Caenorhabditis elegans: one gene and its partner. The protein of the gene in region 1 purifies or fractionates together with the protein of each later gene. This does not show direct contact. Each region holds a gene or a part of one and is shown on either strand. Other genes may lie near its edges.

What was found. Proteins that work in one complex are often made in the same cells at the same time.
Region 2: the proteins of dot-1.3 (region 1) and pals-8 fractionate together in Caenorhabditis elegans (co-fractionation; one large-scale study listed by BioGRID). This does not show direct contact.

Annotation. Positions count from the first base shown.
Region 1 is NC_003284.9:12,299,825-12,305,397, forward strand, and holds dot-1.3 (Histone-lysine N-methyltransferase, H3 lysine-79 specific), read right to left. Parts: upstream 3,032-5,573; 5' UTR 2,994-3,031; coding exon 2,893-2,993; intron 2,848-2,892; coding exon 2,724-2,847; intron 2,680-2,723; coding exon 2,533-2,679; intron 2,487-2,532; coding exon 2,278-2,486; intron 2,222-2,277; coding exon 1,971-2,221; intron 1,903-1,970; coding exon 1,796-1,902; intron 1,718-1,795; coding exon 1,715-1,717; 3' UTR 1,499-1,714; downstream 1-1,498. Other genes in the region: W06D11.5 (NR LBD domain-containing protein), read left to right, coding at 310-618, 1,324-1,458.
Region 2 is NC_003279.8:13,119,118-13,124,875, forward strand, and holds pals-8 (Protein containing ALS2cr12 (ALS2CR12) signature), read left to right. Parts: upstream 1-1,974; 5' UTR 1,975-2,005; coding exon 2,006-2,091; intron 2,092-2,137; coding exon 2,138-2,285; intron 2,286-2,495; coding exon 2,496-2,749; intron 2,750-3,092; coding exon 3,093-3,264; intron 3,265-3,639; coding exon 3,640-3,804; intron 3,805-4,053; coding exon 4,054-4,290; 3' UTR 4,291-4,396; downstream 4,397-5,758. Other genes in the region: pals-11 (Protein containing ALS2cr12 (ALS2CR12) signature), read right to left, coding at 5,059-5,433, 5,476-5,758.

The sequences.
Region 1 (5,573 bases):
TTCCATCAATTTGCTATGCTATTATATATCTATAATTTTTCAACCCGTTTATTATGCACCCATTTTACAACTCTTCCCGGAATGTTTTCTTTTTCCCCGTTTGATCGATTGCTTTTAAAAATTACTATCACATCATTTATCTCACACTTTTGGTCACATTTAAAGGAATTGATTAATAAATTGATATAGTTCTCAAGAATGGTTTAATGAATCATAAAGATTATTTTTAAAAAACAAAAAAAGTGGGATCAAGTTGAACAGGCAGCAAGAAAATGGCAAAATGTTGATTAGCGGTTGATTGCAAAAATAATGGCTGAACTTTGGGAAGAGGAAAGAAAACTTTTTGAGGAGGAAAATAGCAAGAGAGAAGAAATGATAAAATACGCAACACTCCGCGATGTAGATCGACAACCAGTTCAAAAAGTCATGGAGGAAATTCGTAACATGTACTGTAAACTGATGTCATGTTTATCACGACGAGAATCTTTTGTCCTACAGGAAGTAAAAGATCGACAAATGCTCTTGAAAGTTGGATTAAAAATTTGCAATGAATGGCTCCAAGAAGGCAACAGCAACAGACCAACACCATTTCATTTGTTGAAACCTGATCAGCAGAAGGTAGGTAGGTTATTTGTCTGTAGCATGCTATTATGCCTCAAAAATGAGTCCTGAAACATTTTAGTTTCAACTAGGGTTTTCATGTCGGCCCTGCAAACGCAGCCCTCACGCCGCTCTCACGCCGCGATCCGAAATCTTTATAGCGATGCCCGGAACCCAAAAAGTGTCGGACGGAAAGCCAAGTTCAGTTTGCACCAAATAATGCAATATGGTAAGGTACTATTTGTTGCTCCGCGTTTGTGCACGCGCATCGCTATAAACGTTTCGGCTCGCTGCGCGAGATCGGCGTTTGAGGCGCCGACATGGGAACCCTAGTTTCAACGAACAAAAACCGCATTTCCACTATTAATATTGCACCCATTATTCGACTTTGACAGTTCATATCTCAGTTGTCGTTTGTGTTATGCAAAAATTGTTATAATATTATACAAAATGTTTGTTTTCTTCTATAGTTTTGTAGTTAATTTTTATTGATATCTTTAAAATTACTGAGACTTTCGAAGTAGCGTAGTCAGGTTCAATTTTTTTTTATTTTTCCACATAGTAGGTTTAAAAATCCAGTCAATTTTTTAGTGCAAAATTACCATATATAGTCAATTTCTTCGAAAAAAAAACCAAAAACATTATTTGTCTTTTCGAAACATATTTGTAGAACACTTTTGTAGATCATAATAAAAAATAAATCTAATAAATCATACATTTCAGAAGCTCCTCCATGCTACAAAGATGCTTGAATTTTTTATCGGGTTGACACCATACGATTTCGATGCACAAAAGACCGGAGACTCACAACAAGAAGCAGTTCAAAGACAACGACGACAGATAACTAACGAACAGTGAAGAACGCTTTAGGGTGTTTAGACATAAAACGATGTGGTTAAAACAAGAAACGAATTTATGAAACCAACAAGTTTGATAGTACAAAGAGAAGACGGTTGGTATCCGGATCAGAACAAACGAAAAACAAAAAGGAGGCAACATAGATGGTCATATTGAGGAGGAGGGAAGGGGGAGATCCTAATTGAAAAATAACCGAAAACATTATTAAATGACACGTGATAGCAGATGGTGTGATGAATGTAGAAGGCCTCGTTGATCACTGAAATGAATAGTTTAGATTTTACTTAACTTTAATACCCAGAAACCCCTAAAATCGAACACAGTAAAAAAAACTAACCTTGTTGCGATTGATTGTAGTCAAGTAGAATGGCACTTTTCTACTTGTCCACGATACATTGTTGTCAACGAGATTGAGAAGAGACTCATCCGAGATTTTGACGAAATCTAAAAAAAGTTGGAGTTAATTACTGATATTTCCCATATAAAAGAGAGTTCTGAAGTATTTAACTTACCATCGGCACGACGCGAATTCGTTTGACGAGCACGACTTGGGACCAGCGGCTCCGAGGATATGATTCGAGTTCGATCCTTGCAGCCCATGAGGATCTCTTTGAGCTGAAGCTTCAGCTCTGGATCGAAGCGCACATTGTTTGCGAGGATGACGGTGGCCTTGGTTTGAATCTCTCGGATGACGGCCGGACTCGTGAATGAGCCATGGATGAACCGGGTTGCGTAAACCTTCTTCCCGAAGTGGTTGAGGAGTCTGAAAACGAACGAATTGATCACATCGGAAATTATTATGAACAATTCCCAACTTACCGCTCATTGAACTCTTTGTTCTTTTCGGCAATTTCTGCCAAATTATCCATGAGCTCAACTCCGACGCTCATCTGAGTTCTTGCGTAGGCAGCAACAAAATTCACCAAATGACCGATTCCACTTCCCAAATCCATGAAATAGTCGGAAGGACCCATGTTGAGTTGATCCACAAAGCTGGCCATTTGTGAACAATGGAGCTCTCCGTACACCTTAAAATAATTCTTTGAGAAATTTTAATTTCTCTGAGAAACTTACTGTAGACGTTCCAACAGCGTAGTGGCGGAGCACGTTGGCGTCTGGCACCGAGAAACGATACGCAAGTTCAGCGAGTTTGATCGCAACTGTCAAAGAACATAATCTAGTTGACGTGATCTCGTGATGCTTTGCAGGGACTCGTGAAAGCTGAAATTATTTATTTAGTATTCATATGCAAACATATGTCATACCACATCAGGATGCGCAAGTTTCAGATTGAGTGCATCAATATACTGGGAAAACTTGTCCGGGTTACCAACGACTGCGTCAGAAGGCAGGGGAACCTTCACGGCATCAAGAATCGGCTTGTAGATTCTGAAACAAAATCCCAGTAACTCAGCGTTTGTCCAGAAAACTTACTCCTCGAACATTTCTTTGACTGTTTGACGGAAATGGAGCGTGTTTGGAAACTTGAACTCAGCATTTCCCTTTCGAGCGCTTGACAAGTGAATGACTGGCATCGTGATTTCAAGTGAGCAGAGATTTGGTATTTCTGAAAATTTTTGATATATCACAATGAATTGTTGTGAGAAGAGCTTGAAGATTAAGTAAAAGATGAAATGCTAGTGTTTTGCAGTGCGTTCAGTGGTATTTTATATAAGTTAAACTAACAGTACACTTGGTGACTCTACAAGGATTTATTATAGACAACTAGTAACACTAATAGACAAGTAACGCAAGAACATAAAGTAAGAACTGATTCGGGAAGTCCCTCCAAGGTTGGCAAAGTGGTCCACGTGTCCAAGGTTGAGTTGTTCGTATTGGCGTGGCAAGGTCATGGCGTGAATGTTGTTGTTGTTAGATTATCTTGTTCCTTGTATGCATCCATCCGGGGTTCACGTCGCAAATGGTTCACGTGGTTGTTCTTTGTTAGCACTGACTGTTGGTTGTTCCTTGAGCGATGGTGATAGAAATGCTCGGTGTTGTTAGCGTCCATTGTAGAGTACATAATTATGCAATAATTATAGAATAATTATTGAGTCGTGAATAATGGAGATCCTGCTCCATGCTATTCGCGACAGATAGAGCAACAAATGTAAATCCGCGGGAAACTCATATTTCCAATTGAAATAAGTTATTTTTACGGACTAAATTTGGTATTGGGTGAGTGCAGGTAGAACATCAGAAAAGTCTCATGTTCCAGAACTGCCACCCAGTATCATTTATCCATCTAGCTTTAAGCTATACCAATTCAATCTTTCACTTTTTCAGCTCATACTCATAATTCAATTCATTTCCAATCATTTTTTTCCCAATTCATGCCAGATCAATTCCAATCCTTTGATTTTCCAACTCATTCCAGATCAATTACAATCCTTTTCTTTCCAACTCATGTTTTCCGACAGGCTCAATTTCAATCCTTTTTGACTCAACCCGTTTCATTCCAGGTCAGTTCCAATCCTTTCTTTCCCAATTTCAGTTCTTTGACCAGTACAATTCCAATCCTTTCTGTCTTAGCCCGTTCAATTCCAGCTCAATTCCAATCCTTTCTGTCTTAGCCCGTTCAATTCCAGCTCAATTCCAATCCTTTTGTCTCCCAACTCATGTTTCCCAAGACATGCTCAATTCCAATCCTTTTGATCCCAATAAATCTTCACAACTTCCAGTTCTTCTCTACTACACCTTATGCTTCCACCATCTTTCGATTATTTGATATACTACAACTTCCAGTTCTGCTCTCACACCCATATGCTTCAACCATCTTTCAATTCTTGGATATCTTGCTCAGATAGTTTGGAATGTTCACAAGTCCATACTATCTGCTCGCCATGATTTGCCATTCATGGACTCTTCCTCCCTCATATCTAGGTTTATGCGGGGAGGGAGTATTATTAAAACCACCGAAACACGGCAGTGTGCCATTTAAGAGACAGTTCTTTTCAACCGAACTCTTTTTCATTCTCCAAATTCATTAAGACATCTCGGTGAGCACTCCCGTGTCTTTTTCTTACTGCAAGTAATTTTCTATCATTTTGTGACTATTCTCCAGTTCTGCTATCTCGCCCGCATGCTTTGCCGTTCATGGAGAATCGAACTTGTCGGATCAAAAAGCTTTGATCCAGAGGCGGCCGTCCTACCGCCTCGGCCACACGTGCAGCCGGAAGTGGGGGTAGATAAAGCTGATTTGGACAGGAAAAAGCTATTTTGAACCAGGTTGCTGGAAATAGTTAAGGTTTGACTGATGAATATTTCGAAAAGAATTGGAAATTGGTAAAACGTGGAAACCTGAAAAGCGACGCTTGGTGATATGAAAAAATTGAATAGAAGCTTCGGAATACACATTTAGTTGGAATAAGTGGAAGAATCATCCTGAATGACAATATTAAATCTCATATTTACGAGCTGGCAATTTTTAAAAACGAAACTTGACAGTGAAAATTACTACACTTCTAGATGTCTCTGTTTGGTAATTTTTCAGTTTGACATGCCCAAATATTGGTGTTTTGCTATTTTCTGCAGCATTTTGCTACCTTTTCATCAGAAAAATCGGATCACAAGTATGATTGTAGCAGAACAGTGTTTATTGTTTCATTGCAATATGAAATTTGTCTTGTTGCGAGAAACAGTGTATTGAAGAAGGATGCAATATGTAAATGGAATGAGGCATGGGAATTTGAAATTGATTCATCGCTTTGGTTTCATATACCGTCAGATTTTTATTCTGTGCACGTCAATAATTTTTCTCTTATAATATTTCCAAGATTCATTCTTCATCACTACAGTGTGAAAACTACAAATCAAGGTTTAGTTTTTTGGCAAAACATACACTGTTACGTCTTACTCTCTACCCAATTTGAACAATTTATAGTGTTTTGTGGGGACTAAATCGTTATACTTTGTTATAAAAATTCGTGAAATGAGTTCAGTTTTGTTGGATTGTGTGCATCGGCTCTGAATTTGGATTATAATGCATACTACTAATTAGCACGCTGTCTGACTCAATTTTACGGAATAGTTATCATGCACTGCCTCATATTAACTTGCATGAGTTTGCTTTACTTTAAATAACGCCACTATATTGCTAGAAAATTAAATTTTGA
Region 2 (5,758 bases), on another chromosome or scaffold:
AGTATGCATGGGACCGTAGTAAATAATTATCAGTGAAACAACAAACCTCACAAAGCTCAATATCGCCTTCCAAATCCGATCCTCCACTTCCGGTCGTTAGTTTGAATGTGTGATCCGCCAAAGAGTCGACTTTGCCTGTAACATCTCGTCCAGCGCTGATCATTCTCTTGACAACAGCAATGAAAACAGCTTCTTTTCTGTCTTTCTCCCGTTCTTGGTTGACGCACATCTTTGTTGCCATACTCCTTTCTTCTAGCTCATAAACTCGTGAATCATGATCTATTTGATTTTTTTCATTACCCAACTTGATTTCATTGGTTCTCTGCGTTTCGTTCAAAACAATGGCGTTGTTCTCTTCCGCTGTCTTCAAGACTTTCAGTCCAAATTGTTTCTTCTCGTTATGACACTCCTCTTGAAATCGGGTGTTCTGAATTTAAAAATAGTCTTATATTATGAAATTTTTCGCATTTCCATATGTAGTACCACGTGGACATATGCGTTTTGGGAAGAAGCTATGTAGGTTCAACTCACCTCCTCTTTCCGCGCTTTGACGTTTGAAAATATGCTCTCCTCGATGCGATTTTTATTCTGCTCGGTCTGTTTCCGCATTTCTTGATCAATCTTCTCCCTTGTCATCATTTCCTTATTATCCGCATCTTTTTGGTTTCTCAATGCCTCATCTGATCTTTGCATTGCTTCGTAATATTCTTTTTGATGTGATTTGACGAGTTCATCCTCTCTCTTATTGTTCTCAATTTTTGTCTCATGTAACTGTTTCACGGCTTCCTGAACTTGAACAATTGATGATTTACCCAGACAATTGTTTTATTATTAATTCTTACTGATTTTGCACATATCTTACTTATAAAATCACCTGTCTTTCTCTATCTGCGCGTTCTTCCTCGGCTCTTCTCTGCGATAGTTCGGAGCTTCTCAAGTCACTCATACGCTCACGATAGTACGCTTCTTTTCGTTCCTGAGCCTCATATCGTCTTTTTCGCTCTTCATACTCCCGTTGTGCTTGTGCTTGTGCTTCCTGTTGAGCTTATGCTTCCCGTTTAGCTTTTGCTTCTCGTTGAGCTTGGATCTCCCGGTTTTTTTGTATTCTCCTATCCTGAAATAACTTGTTTGTTTTGAAAATAAAGAGGTAATCCCATACCTTATGCCCAGTGACAACATTGACCATATCCTCTAAGAAGCCCAGCATTCCGAAGCAATCTGAAACTGTAAAATAAAAACCGACATCGTGAAGCCTACAATTTTTTTCAATTTAACAAAACATGTTTGCACTACGATACTGTACGATTCCGGTAGGGCCGGTAGAACTTATAGTTTGCTAGTGGACTTCAGATAATGCATGAAAAGTGAACTTGTGTATTTTCAAATTAATAGTAAGTATCTATAATGCACACCTGAACTCAAATATATATGAAACGTTTAGGTGTTAGCAATATACGCGTATGAGAAAAGTTGATGCCTCTTCCTTATGACATGTGGCAACAATTTATACAGTTTCACTTATTATAAGGAATTCACGATTCTTCCTTCTTGAAAATGTCATCAAAATGTTTTCTTGCTAACCATAACTACAAGTATATACAACTGTTATCAATATTCGTTTATTTATGAAGTTTGATGTTTTCAGACAACTTTGAATCTGATAAAGCATTAAAAAAATCAACTACAGCAGCTTTAAACAAATGTTGGTGTTAGCAATGCGATGAAAAAGGATTTCTATTCCTTATGGCATGTGGCAACGACTTATACAGTTTCATTAATTATAAGGAATCCTCGATTATATTTTTTGGAATCTGTCATTGCAATATTTGTTCTTGCTAATTGCAACTTCAAATATAAACAACTCTTATCAATGTTCCATTTCATTTCAGTATTCCTTCGGTTTTCCACATTTACAAACTATCTAACATAATTTTATTATTAATTTTTTTGTGGTACAGAATTTTCAAAATTTAGGACGACCACTCTATAGGTGCAGAAAAAGAAAATGAGTGAAGCGGCCTATTATCGCGAACTGGAAGCTTCTGAACGACGGTTGAGCGAACTTCGGGCTGCTAATCGAGAAAGTGTTAAGTACGTTTCGCGTTGAGGTCCAAAATAACAGTTCTGCGAGTTTCAGAAGAGTGCAAGACAAAATAACCGACGAGAAAACGCAACATCAGGCACGTATCGCGGAAAAAGAGAGAAAGCATCGTGAAAACATGTTACGACAATGGAATTCTAGCGTTGCGGAGAGGAATGCCGCTGAGGAAATACATAGGAAATCGGTATGATTGGAGGTTGGATCTGAAGTTGTATAAAATTCATTTAAGCTTTTTTTGATGAGGTTGGTGTACAGCCTAGCTTTCTTTAAGACAATAGGCCCCTTCGTCACAAGTCTATAGGTTGACCTCTCGCCACCTTTACTTCGAAGAAAGATTTTTAGCAACTTCTTTAAGAAAAACGTACGATTTGAAGCTTGAATGTTGAATTTTTAGGTTGAAAAATTCAACGAAGAACACAAAACCTATATGGCAAAGTTAGAAAAGCAACTAGAGAAAATAAACGAGAAGGGAGAACAAGATGTTAAAGAAGTTGAACAGCAACGTGTAAAACTTGAAGAACAACGAACAGAAGACCTTGTCAAGCATCACGAATCGATGGCGAACCTCAGTGAGAAAAAATACAAAGAAATTGAAAAACAAAGAGTAGAGCAACATATGTTGAAAATGGAAGAGTTGAATGCAAAAAGGTAAGGAGTGTTACCTCATGAGGTGTGAAATTTATCCAGGAATGCTAACCATAAAGAATTTTGTTATTTTCACAACTTTTTTGATTGTTTCAAAAAATTTTTCGATGAATCGACAAACGACAATATCGGCAATCGCCGAAATTTGTATAATTTTTGTTTATTTCTCTCTTTTAACAGAAAATTGAACCAAAACTTATATTTTTCGGGATTTACGGAAAAGTAAGAAAGTTTTGGAACAAAGTTCCACAAAAATTTCAATTTTTACACTGCTAAACTATCGATTCAAGTGAGCTTCGTAACCTCACATTTAAAAAATTTTTAAAGTGTTAACATTTTTTTTCAGTAAACAAAATACGAGTCTTTACCAAATTCAAATGAAAAACATTAATGATTCACACAACATGCAATTAAGCATAGAAAAGAGTAATGCTAGTTTGGCTGTCATTCAACATTCAGAGAGTTGCATTGAAAGCTTTAATGTGATCTTGGGTCTATTGAAAGATATGAAAGAGTTGGTAAGCTTAACTGTGGAGTAGCGCCAGTGGGGATTTTGTTTAAGTAAATTTATAATAATTCAAAACAACCGAATATCATATTAAAACACTCCAAAATGTTTTAGCTTTTTTCATAATTTCCTGCCAAAGTTTTGGCAAGTTGCCAAAATTTTGAAAAATATGAACTTTTGAAGAAATCAAAAGAAAAATTATGAGTGGCAAAAACTGAGTGATTGTCACTTTTTGACACCAAAAAATTTTCAAAAATTGTTTGAATTTTTTTCGTGATATTCGGTCATCTTGGCACCATATGAGTAGTTTTCAAGCAATTTAGCCACTGGCGCTACTCTACCTTTAATAGTAATTGAGAATTAAATAATTCATACAATAATTTAGAGCGAGAACAAAGATCACTACCTTCCTGCTGACTTGAAAAAAATAAAGTATACTTCGGACGAAATTGAAAAGCACAAATCTAAATTGGAATTTCGAAATCAACAGCTCGAAAGTAGTAGGACTCTGGAAATCAATGCAGACCCACGAGTGATTGGCGGATCTTCGGTGAGTTTGCATATTCGAAATATAAAATTTCAAAAAAAAACCGTGATGCTGGTTTAGTTGCGGAAATCTGCGCTGGAGAAGTGAGAGTGAGGTGGTATTTCAAATATGGTGCACGGTCTGTGTGTAACTGATTAAAATCCATCTCCATTTCAGAAATTGGGTAAGACAATAGGAATTATAATTATTGCCCCCAATGTTGGACAAGAAATATATCCAACAGCCACAAAAATCTAAACATTTAACATTAAGGAAATGTCAATCAAAGTGAAGCGATGCATAGAGTCAAGTGGCTTTCGTTCAGTGTGTACTTTGCCCAGTCTTGCTGCACAACAGGATCTTGCTCGTATTAGTACAATTATGGACAAAATCGACAGTTTGACCAATAAGATGGATGCTATTAGTGAAGAAGTTCAGCGCAATACAATTCAATGGCAACAAGATGGAAATTCGTCTATGAAGGCTTTGACGCATACCAACGGGAGTTGATTGTATATAAATAATTGCTTTATTGTTATTTCATAAAAAGGAAATTCTATGAGCTCACTTTTATGTGCCTCTATCTATTATAAATAAAATTCATGATATTCTCCGGTATACTTCCTAGTTTTCTAGTTCATGGCGATGCGACTTGGGCTGCTTTGGCAGCAGCCTCCGCAGCACTATAGAAATACAGTATCAATAATATCCCGTGACAATTTTCATAAAACTGAATATAAATTGGCTTGATGTTCCTAAAGGGCTGCGAAGGGCTGCGAGTATGAGCGTTTTCCTGAGGGGATGGTATCAGCTCCCTCGTAGTCATCGCAGCTCTGAGCAGCCCAACTTCATCCTATTTATCAGTCCTTCAGCACCATCAACCCAATTTTTATTCAGTTTTATGATACTGTGTTGCTAAAGGGCTGCGGGGGGTTGCTGCCCAAACAGCCCTAGATGCGGCATCCATTCTGCAACCTGAGAAAACACTTAATTTTAGGGCACTAATCAAGTTAGAAAAAACAATGGAAAAAGTGATGGGGTGAAGTTATGTCATCTGCTTGCCATTTGCCAATCGGTCTGGCAAACGGCAAACCAATCGAAAAACAACGAGGGTTCAACAATTGACAGTTTTTTCAACACTAAAGTTAAAATCTTTGAAAAAAAAACTAGAAATTTTTCAAACTGCAAAAATTAAACATTTATTTCCTTACAACACAAAAAAAAGTTTTAAACGTTGAATGATGACTGCAATGAGTATCACGAAAAGATCAATGAACTTCAATTCAAGAGACTTTTCGAATTTTGTGCACTTTCGCAATCCTTCTTCCATTCATATAAAATCAGTTCCATATTTCTGATTTCAATGTCAGCATGTTTCTTTAGTTTAATGTTACGCAGCTTGCTGACTGCATAATTTAACATATTCATCCTATCCTTGAAAGCTTTGAAAGCCGTGATTGATTTGTCCAGCTCAGAGAATGTGCTCAAAAATGTGTTCAAACTATTTCGAACATCAACGATCTTGTTGAGAATCTGTTTTACCACATTTGTATTCGCACCGCCTTTCATACCATCATATCCTTTGAAATTCGACACTTTTTCTGATGCTTCTTCCAAATTATCCATTTTATTCTTTACAAGAGTCACGAGAATCTGAAGAAAACTGTGCAGAAATTGGAACTATTTAACTGTTACCTCGCGATTCCTTGTACTTATCGTTTGTTTATCATCATTGCTCAGGGATTTGTGAACCACCGTCACCGCTTTCGAGATTAAAGCCCAGATATGCTTCACGTGCTGGACAGTACTATTATATTTTTCTTCAAGAATATCATTTCTGACTGCTTTCGCCAGATCTCCTTGTTTCAGTTTCATCTTCAAGTCGATTTCTTCACATTTGGTCTGATGTATGAATTTCTGTTCTCGCATGCTCTTTTCCGCTTCCGACATTGATCGATTCAAATTTGATATAGTTTCT